Linked DNA regions of Nothobranchius furzeri. The protein of the gene in region 3 interacts with the protein of the main gene of each other region in a pairwise test. Links are inferred from orthologs where the notes say so. Each region holds a gene or a part of one and is shown on either strand. Other genes may lie near its edges.

Region 1 (3,519 bases), on a different chromosome or scaffold from region 3:
ATAAAAATTAGGATGTGTCAAAATGAAGGAAACCACTTCTAGCCATTAGTGTCTATGGTCCATCACATGGGGTTAAAAGGATTCCCATCAAGACCCTATAGCCTATGGCTTGGGAAGCCATTGCTTGAGCGCTAGTTAGCAGTGGAAGACTCAGAACTTAGACCAATTCTTATTTGCTTACGTTTGGTAAAAATACTGGTGGTAACAATATTTTCATTTCTATGCAATTATTCTTTGCTATACTTAACCATGAAGACAGAAAACAATAACGGATAGTAATAACTGATACTGGATGACAGTTTTTACTCTTTATAACTAAGTTAGGAAAAAACAAAGGGTACCGAGTGAAATGTGATTGGCTGGTATGTTGTAAAAAACCTTGGAGGGCTGTAGAACCCGACAAGGTGTTTTATCAAATACGGGCCCATTTACCAGTTATCGTGTTAGTTTCTTAAGCAATTGAAAGTTTCACTTAGACACTTTAAATTTTATATAGAAAGTTTAAATAAGGAGTAAATATTAAGTCAGGTGATATTAAATTGATAACATTATCAAAATAATAAAGAAATGTGAGCTATTTAACTAAAACTAGAAAAGTAAGCAACTGAACATTTTTGTTGCCGACCTCAGGATTAAAATCATAAATGATTCTGCATTACCCCCAATAGTTTTATTTGGCTTTTTGAATTCATACACATGCAAAGTATTTTCGTTGCTTGTCACACATCAAAACCATGCATTCTACAAATAAAGCAGACCAAAAACAACCCAAAGAAACAGCCAGATACTTACAGTGTCATCACTTCGGTATGGGTTAAGTTTGTTGTAGAATGCCTCAATAACACTTCGTCTGAGCACAAGAACAAAAGTAGAAATAAATTATAGTGCTAAAGAAAATTACATCAATGGTTGTGATTTTAAAAGCAATAATTGGAGAAATAAAAATAATCACACGTCTTAAAAAAAAGTGACTCAGCACAAGTACAAGGGCCACTTACTTGCTCGCCAGTTCTCCTCCAGGAGGAAGATTGGGGATACTCTCAGAAGCTAACGTCCGCATAACATGAACCAAATCTGGGGCAACCGGACCTCCTTGTTTTTTGAGTATCTCTGCGAATGAGGAAAAAAAAAACAAATGGTAAATTTATAAAAATAAATGCTTGAAATGTGTTTCCCTGGATTCTTCTATTTAAATCTTGCTACATGTATTTATGTATACATAAATTTAATTGCACACGTCACACATCAAAAATTGCTGGGCTGGTAAAACTTTTACCACTTTGTAATGTTGCCATTCCCTCTCACAACTAAAGTGCATTCGAGCATTTAGGATAAGAAGCAAGCATCCGAGTTGTGATTTCTTCCTGCAATCAAATATTAAAAGTGTGCAGTGGTACAGGGTTGTTGTCGCCTTTCTTCATACATTTTCCACATGTTGGAGACAGGTCAGGGCTGCAGTCAGGTTAGTCAAGGAATCTGGCTCTCTTTTTTCCTTACCCATTTTCTTTGTACCATGTTGAAACTGTGGTTTTGCACTGACTTGTTGAAAAATGCATGGACATACCTGGGAATGATCTCATCTTGATCAGACAGAATTTAGTGGACCTGAAGATCTTTTTAGGTTTGACATCCAGAGATGCATTACCACCATTTCTAACCTTAAAGATGAGACTGAAGTCCTTTTGTTTACCAAAGGTTTGGTCAAACAGCCTTAGGATACAATGACAACTCAAATATTCAACTTGAACTTTGGTTTCAGGGTCGTGGTTTGATCATTTCCCAGCAGGGCAATGAAACAAAAAAACATATGAATAACTAATAAAAGCATAAAAAACACCCAAAAATGTTTTATTGGCCCCAAACTGATGATGTAACAGTTAGGACATTAAAATACTCTAAACAATACAAATAGACAAAGACAAAACAAAGATGATCCATTTATGACTTGGAATGGCTTCAGGGTTTAAATTCCTTTATTTTGGCCCATGGACACAATCACACTTTCAGGCTCTGTCCACACGTAGCCGGGGATCTGCCAAAACGTAGATATTTTTCTACGTTTTGGCCTGTCATCCACATGAAAACTGAGTTTTTTCACACGAAAACGGATCTTTTTAAAAACTCCGGCCAAAGTGAAGATCTGCATTTTCACCGTTTTGGGTGTCTGCGTGTGGACAGACAAAACCGGAGTTTTAAGGTCTGCAACGTCACTTTCCGCGACAAAAAAATGCTGACATCACGTGTGCGACCTGTGTTTACACTAGCCGACAGCATGGATGCCCTCAGAGCTGTGCTCGCTTTATCAATTGTCCAAGCGCTTTTTGCTTGTTTGTTTTTGCAAGCGGAATTACTGCTTCTTGCGGAAGACCACAGACGAAGGACGAGGTTAAGAACGGGGAAGTACTGCCACCTACAGGTCTGGCATGTCCTTAACAACGTATTTATCTGGGTACGTGTAGACAGAGTTTTTTTTAAACGAGGTGGTGTGGATGCAAGTTTTTGGAGGGGCGGATATTTGTTTTAAAAAAAAAACCCGGCTACGTGTGGACTAGTTCTCAGTTTATGAATATACAAATTACCCGAGTTTAACAAAGAAATGTGCAAACATATTTAATGGGAGTGCTCAGCTTTATATTAATTTTGTGCAACATGGTCTGTCCTGAACAGTGGTAAATCTACAACATGCATTTTGTGCTGGACATGAATATTCAGACCACATGGTTTGCCACAGATTTCCAAATTTTGGCGATCTTGGAGCAAAAATGAATATGAAGTCCTCTTTCACTTACGTGATGTAACCTTTCACATTTTCTGTCATGACTAAACATTTATATTGAATAAACCCGTTTATAGAAAGCTGCTTTAAAATGTCACATGGTTTTAAAAACAAGAAAATCTGAACAGATTTGCCTCTGATAAGCAGCACTTAAACATATATACCTATCTAAACTTGCTTTTCCTACCTGCTTAAAAGTTAAAATAAAAATGTTCTGCACAAGAAACAAAAAAAGCATTTCTTCATCTCCTACCTTCTACTCTGGCCTCAAGATATTTGTCCAGCTCCGCCTCCTGTTGCACTGCCTCTGGAGATACCTTTGGGGCTCCAGGAAAGCAGATTAACACAACACTCATATTGTCACGGCTTCCCTATGGAGAAAAAAGAAATCAACCAATTAAGCAACTCAACCACAGGAGTTGGTACAGATATGAGCAGGTCTTGTGGAAATACCATACCTTGTACAAGCAGGTGTCAACAATTTCATTGCTGACTTTTTCAAGATCATCTGTAACCTCTAGCCTTGACCGCACAAAGTCACAGAGTTCCTCATTGGCCATGACGTCCCAGATACCATCACAAGCTAGTATAATGAATTCATCTTGCTCGTCAGATCTTTCTATTGCGTACACTTCAGGTTCTGGAGAAACAAGCTGCTCTGTTGGGCCTTTGCCAAGCACACACTTGTAGTCAAAGTCTCCTAGAGCTCTAGACACAGCTAGAGAGCCGTTAACTCGCTGGAT
Region 2 (3,519 bases), on a different chromosome or scaffold from region 3:
GGTCAGTGACGGCGGCTGCAGCGTAACCATCTGTCTCTTTTATTTAGGGACACGGAAAAGTTAAAAGTAAAGAGAAATAGAAGATAGAAGTTTTTGTTCCACTTTATTCTTTTGTTTCATGATGATAAACTGATGTTAAATTCAGCTTAAAGAGAAACTGGGAGGAAGCTTTGGTTCAATTTAAGTTACAGGAGATCTTGTTTCCTATCTGCTCCTCCAGAGACAGCATGGACATGAGGGTTACATGGTGAGGGTCCCACAGGACAGGTTGGTGGAAAGGTTTGTAGTTAGCTGGTTAGTGAAAGAGATCCATCAGCTGGGTAATTTAATCCTAATCCAGCCCACAGCCTTCTGCTGGTGTTATTATCAGAAAGAATAAAACACACATCTTAAATATTATTGGAAGTTTAGGATTATTTTAATGTTTTATTATTTTTTGCTTTAAACAACTTGATTCATTCTCCAACATTTCAGAAATAAGGCCACTGGGTTCAAATAAAAAAATAACAAACTAAGCCAAACATTTCATTTGGTGTTATTTCTTACAGCCTTGAACTGTAACAGAAATATTTGACTCTAAAGCTGCTCAAAGACATTAAACACTCATATATGAACCCTTTAAGGATTTCATAACTTAAATTAAAGGCAAGAATCAGACGTGTCCTGTAGGTTTTCAGATTTTGTGAGTATTTGCAAAGCATGCTTTTCTCAGCCTGAGCTGTGATGTTGAATGAGGAAACAGATTTTTTTACTTTGTTAAATCTTCTTAAATGGTTAAAAATGTTTTGTCCTAAGGACTGTTGTGAATGGAGAGCTTTTGGAGATGGCAGGTTGTGTCAGACACAAGTAAATTTTATGAAATCTTCTATTTATCGATGAAAACAAATCCATATGAAATAGTCATCGGGATATATAATCGATTTGAATTGTCGACCCAATTATCGTAATCGAAACGGGAGACAAGTGAAGATTCACACCTCTAGTGCAGGAACAGCAGCGGTGCTGTAATATTGCAGGCTGGTGTAATGAAAAGCCAGCAACCCCCCCCCCCCCCCCCCCCCCCCATTTCCTTGTGTTGGCTGGCTTAGCTGAATTGCTGCAGTGAATTGAACCAGATCCGTTTTGTTGAATGCAGCACCAATCTTCCACCTTTATACATGCCCTGTTTGCACACATTACACCTTTGCTGTTCATTTATAAATACATCCAAAATACAAACATTTTCTATCTTTTGAGGTGATAACTATGCTCTGTGTTAGCCAACTGCTGCATGTAGTGGTGTGTGAATTCCCAGAATTAAATTGTGGGACTTACTAATTTGTAGTCTGTGAATCAAAGAATACCAATGCAGAGGAACTTGTTGAATTTAAAACTTAAGCCACTGTTTTTTCGTTAGAAAATCTCTTTGTTAGGATGAATTTAAAAAGGCATGTTCAACCGGCATGGTTAAATCAGATTAAGCTGCACCTATCAAATTTGGCCCATTCACCTCTAACTAAACTACAGTTAGCCCCCAGAATACCTACTCTAGACAAGGTTAGGGTTCCCCTTTACCTGATGGTGGTTCATATCAGCCACCATTTGTTCCCCACTTCCCGTCAGGCCTGGAGTGCAGTTCTGGGCTTGTTCCTGAAGAGGTTCCCTTGCTTTCAGGAGAACCCTGTTGACAGCAGCCATGGCAGCTTCACGACAGAGAGCCATGAGATCAGCTCCTACGTAGCCTGGAGTAAGCCGAGCCAGCTGCTGGTAGTCAAAATCTTCTGGCAGCACCAGCTTTCGACACAATGTTCTTAAGATCCTGGTCAAACACACAATCATGCTTGCATTAGGTTCAGAGTGGCTTTTACGAGAAATGTAGGGCTGAGTGATATAGCTTAAAATTAAGCTGTACAATTTTGTTTAATTCCAAATGCAGCATTTATTTAATCTTCCCTTATTGGAGTTGACCTGAATTCAAAGTCGTAAAACCTGCTTGTAAAACAATTTAAAGGTGGCAAAACAGTATTTGCACCAATTGTGCAAGTTGTTCTACTTAAAGATGACAAATCTGTTATTTTCATCAGATATACTTCTACTGTGGGAGACGGAATGTAAAAAAAAGGATATCGCATTGTATGATTTTTAAAATAATTTATCTGTGTAATGTGCAGAAAATAAGTTTTTAGCAAGAATTTTGGCCCTCAGACCTGCTATTTCTTCTTCAAGAAGATCGTCTGCCCTCTACTTGTTAGCTGATGTGAAATTCCCTCAGTGTGGAAATCGGCTTTTGTTACCCTTTTGTTAAAAGGAGGAGATCCAACAGAATTATCAAATTATAGGCCAATATCAAACTTATCTATACTGGCCAAAGTTCTTGAGGATCTGGTGAGTGAACAGTTAAAGGAGTTTTAAAACACTAATGCTATTTTATCTGAATATCAATCAGGTTTTAGGAAAACATACAGTACTACCACGGCTGTACTAAAAGTGGTAAACAACATTGTTGTTGCTCTGGACAAAAAGCAGCACTGTGCATCCCTTTTTATAGATTTGTCAAAAGCATTTGACACTGTTGACCATGGTATTCTAAAACTTAGACTCCTCCAGTCAGAACTATCTGAAAAAGCAGTGGGATGGTTCTCAAATTATCTTAAAAACAGGTTTTAGTGTATTTAAATCAGATGGACTTTGTTCTGATTTGCCATAGTCCACAAGGGGGTACCACAGGGCTCTGTGTTGGGCCCTCTTGTATTTATCATTTACATTAATAATCTTGGTCTAAATGTGACAGATGCAAACCTGCACTTTTATGTCGATGATACAGTTATTTACAGCTGTGGAAACACTCTTAACTCAAGCCATAGATTCAGTACAGAAAGCTTTTGTTGCTGTCCAGCATTCATTACTTCAGCTTAAACTTGTTCTCAATGCAGACAAAACCAAGCTCATGCTGTTTACAAACTCGAGGAGACAGGCTCAAGTGGTTCCTTCAGTGACCACACTTGATGGTTAAGAAATATTGTTGGTTCACTCATATAAATATCTGGGTTTCTTGATTGATGACTCACTCACCTTCAAACCTCGTGGAGAATCTGGTGAAGAAGCTGAAGTTAGGACTGCGTTTGTATTTTCAAAATAAGTTGTGTTTCTCTTTTAATGCAAAGATCCGTCTTGTTGTTGCAACATTTTTTCCTGTCCTGGATTATGGAGATATTTTGTATATGAACGCTTCTGCTAAATGTCTTCAGTCACTTGACACAGTGTATCATGCTGCTCTAAGGCTTATTACTAACCGTAAGTACTCGACTCATCATTGTGAGTTGTACAATCAGATGGGATGGCCTGCTTTGACCATCAGGAGGAAGTCTCATTTTTTCAGATTTATATATAAAGGCACTACTTGGTCTGCTACCTTCCTATATAACTTCCCTACTTAAAATGAAAATTGCAGGTCATTATTCTCTTTGTTTACAAGACACTTTGCTACTTTCTGTCCCATTTGTACGTACTGAATTTGGAAAGAGATATTTTGCCCATTCA
Region 3 (3,385 bases):
CCCCTGCAGCTTTGGGGTCAGGAGCAGAGTTGGTCTGTGTATTTCCGGACAGACGTGCAACACGAAAGCCTGAAGGATGATGCTATGGAAGGAGAGAAAGAAGTGATGGAAACAGGTTCCATCCTACAGATGATCAGCTGGTGCAGAACAACATGAAAATAACCAGCATGGCTGGCTTCTTTCCGGCAGCTGAGCATCATTGACTGTTGTCAGTTCAGTTTAAGCCACGCCCACTTTACATGCACTAATGGGACGTTTAGTAAAATCCAATTGATCATTTGACTGAGTTCATTTATTTAGTTGTTAGCTGGCTGCATGTTATTTTATTAGATTTTGCTTAAAAAGCAAACAACAATTATGTGCAGGTAAGTAAACAGGACTTTCGTGATGCGCTTTTTGCATGGATGACCAAAAGATATAATTTAGCCACATAAATTCATTCTCAGACGTAGCTCAACTACACAGACCCATGTTGGTGTCACATCATGAAAAAAAAGACAAAAGAATATTTTTTGTTAATTTTATTTCCAAAAGCAGCTCAGTGACAAACAGGTACCTGAGGACACACGATTTTAATAATGACCACTGAGAAGCAACATCAACATTTACTTCAAATGAAAAAGCTAATTAAAAAGTAATAAAAAAAACCACAACAAGATTCATCTCCTCGAAGACGTTTGTGGATTAAAACAAAAAGCATGCATGCGTGTGCGTTGATGGCATCAGGGTGTATAGCGCTGCTATCTACTTCTGGGTCACGGCGGGTTTCTTCTCCACGGTGACGGGGATCGTGGTTTCGGTCGACTCGATGGCCATCAGAGGAGCCTCCACGGTCAGAATCCCCTCAGGGGAGAGAGAGGAGGTCACCTTCTCGAAAGTAGCGGTAGGAGGGAGGCTGGAGGAGGGGGGAGGAGACAGTGTTACACATTGTTGTAGTAGCAGAGGTGTGGCCACTAGGTGGCAGCAGACTTGTGGAGTTGAATAAACCAGATATGACTGACTAGGTGGCTGATAAGGCATTTCAGAACTCCAAACTTCAGCTTCAGATATACAGAATACATTTGACTGCATGCATTTTGCACAAACCTGCAGATTTTGAAAAAATAAAATAAAAGCTTACGTGTATTTCCTGGTGAAGCTCCTAGAAATGAAGCCGTGTTCATCCTTCCTCTCCTCGTGCTTTCCTGTGGAAACAACAGAAATTATTAAAAAAATAATTAATAAACAGCTAGTGATGTCATTCATCTCTTGTGCCATTCCGTGAGACTGAATCACACGCTTTGTTTATCTCTGTGCTCAGACCAGGTCCAGTCAACTGGACCGGATCCAGCAGTCCTTTTAAAGCTGCAGACACTGGGGAGTCACAGCAAACTGGAAGAACTGGGATCACGAGGGCGAGTCCGAGAGGGAGGAGGCCTCACATGCCACCAGTAAAAATGTAAACAAAAAGTAAAACTAAGCTGCTTCACAGGTATCTGTTGGCTTCTAGCCAGAATCCCACTCCCACCCATGTGAGGAAGAGGGGGAGGGGTCCTTTTCATCTGGAGACAATGACCTCAGTTAACCTGGATCCTGAATAAAAGATCCTGAATGTTTGCAGGTTACTTAAACACCTAGAGAAGAGAGAAAACTCACCAGAGATCTCCACAACACCATCCTTCATCTTCACCACCAGCTCCTCAGGTGAGAAGTGGTTGACGTCAAGGGACACCTTCCAGCTGTCCTGCGTCTGCTTGATCTCTGACACGCCACTGCCCATCTGCCTGGACAGGGCACGAGCCTGCTGGGCCAACATCTGTCCCGGGTACATGTGGCTGTGGGGCATCATGATGTCAGTGCCCAGGATGGAGGGCCTCAGGTAGCCGGGCCAGCGGGAGCTGGGGAACGTGGGAAAGTCCTCCAGCAGGGCCGGCATGCCGAAGATCTGGTCAAAGATCCGGCTGCTGTGGTGCCAGTCCCGGAGCGGATCCCAGCTGGGAGTGCGGGCCAGGGTGAAGGGAATATTTCTCTCAGCCATGCTTGCTGTGGTCGGGCAGAAGAAGTCTTCTCAAGTCTTTCAGAAAATGTTCTTCCAAGTTGATGCCTGACTCACATGCTGCAGAGCTTTTATACACGCTGGTCCCACCCCCCTAACGCCCTGCCCCCAGACCCACAAGCCCCCAACATGCCTACGGAAAGATCTAGAATCTATTTGTGTCTGTTGCAGCACGTGGAGGGCGGGTCTTGGTAACAGCTGCCCAGTGCAAACGTAAGAGCTCCCACCCCCACCCCTCCCATTCTGATCAGATCTGACTAGAAGCAACTGGAGGAAACCTGAAGAGCCGATGTGATCACAACATGCTGGGATACGATGCAAAAAGTAACACATAATACTCACCTGGGTTAACCCTCTGGAGGCAGGCATTGCAGGTTTGCAACAGTTACCTACCTGGTTACTCCACATATGTGTTTCATGAGCATTGTTTAACTCAGAGGTCGTCCTTCTATCAAAACTCATTTTGACCCAAACTGGGTTAAAAACTCCCAAGTTTCTTAGTGGATGACAGGAAACTGTTTAGTTTCATCAAAGTAGGAAAAAGTGAGCTAAAAACCAGACATGAAAACATCATTTTGGTTGCATTCGTTTCTCAGGGTCGTGGTTTTGCTCTAGTTTTAATACAGATGCACATTTACACACACAACGGTCTAGAAAGATGCGTCCAATAGAAAACATTTAGCAGAGTGTTGTAGAAACACCTGGAAGATGGGTTTAGGGTAAGCAAAGGGAGCATTTACACGTACGTGTTAGATCCTGCCTGGGAGACACTTTCAACTGTGAATCAATTCAACCCCTTCTTTTCGGGCTATCTACGCCAAAATACTAACTGTATTTTGATATCAAACTGGATTAAAAACATAGAAGACGTTCATTTTAGACCAAATGCATCTCAGTTTTAAACAAAATGCTGCTGGGTGTTGTCTTTGAGCAACCCTCTGGAGGCAGGCGTTGCAGATTTGCAACACTACTAAAACCTACCTACCTGGTTACTCCACATACACGTTTCATAAGCATTTTTAACTCAGAAGTATTCAGATATTTAGCTGGAAAAAAAAGAAAGAAAAACCAACAATTCCACCATTTTTCAACATGAGATGATTTTGTTTGAACATCTAGAATGAAAATGATCTAACTAATATAAACCCTTTCATGCATAAAGTTCAAAAACTTCTGAAAAGATTTTTAAAGAAAAACAAATGTTAACGTTCAAAATTTACATTTTTTAAAGAGCCACACATTTTCTTACATTATTATTATAGTATGTTATTAATGAAAACACTAGAGTCTAATGTGGTTGTATAAATAAAAGTTTACCATCAACATTCATATAAGCAAAAAACAGCTTTT

What was found. The genes of interacting proteins can lie anywhere in the genome.
Region 1: the proteins of hspb1 (region 3) and ppm1aa interact in a two-hybrid assay, tested with the Homo sapiens proteins (2 studies listed by BioGRID and IntAct). The link is inferred for Nothobranchius furzeri from reciprocal best matches to the Homo sapiens genes HSPB1 and PPM1A.
Region 2: the proteins of hspb1 (region 3) and nvl interact in binary tests that used the Homo sapiens proteins (3 or more experiments, as listed by UniProt). The link is inferred for Nothobranchius furzeri from reciprocal best matches to the Homo sapiens genes HSPB1 and NVL.

Annotation. Positions count from the first base shown.
Region 1 is NC_091758.1:31,241,378-31,244,896, forward strand, and holds part of ppm1aa (protein phosphatase 1A), read right to left. Parts: coding exon 3,235-3,519; intron 3,148-3,234; coding exon 3,030-3,147; intron 1,111-3,029; coding exon 999-1,110; intron 851-998; coding exon 793-850; intron 1-792. UniProt on the Homo sapiens protein: Enzyme with a broad specificity. Negatively regulates TGF-beta signaling through dephosphorylating SMAD2 and SMAD3, resulting in their dissociation from SMAD4, nuclear export of the SMADs and termination of the TGF-beta-mediated signaling.
Region 2 is NC_091752.1:59,274,772-59,278,290, forward strand, and holds part of nvl (nuclear valosin-containing protein-like), read right to left. Parts: intron 1,799-3,519; coding exon 1,555-1,798; intron 1-1,554. UniProt on the Homo sapiens protein: Participates in the assembly of the telomerase holoenzyme and effecting of telomerase activity via its interaction with TERT. Involved in both early and late stages of the pre-rRNA processing pathways.
Region 3 is NC_091750.1:66,231,738-66,235,122, reverse strand, and holds hspb1 (heat shock protein beta-1), read right to left. Parts: upstream 2,108-3,385; 5' UTR 2,018-2,107; coding exon 1,636-2,017; intron 1,185-1,635; coding exon 1,121-1,184; intron 896-1,120; coding exon 745-895; 3' UTR 507-744; downstream 1-506. UniProt on the Homo sapiens protein: Small heat shock protein which functions as a molecular chaperone probably maintaining denatured proteins in a folding-competent state. Plays a role in stress resistance and actin organization.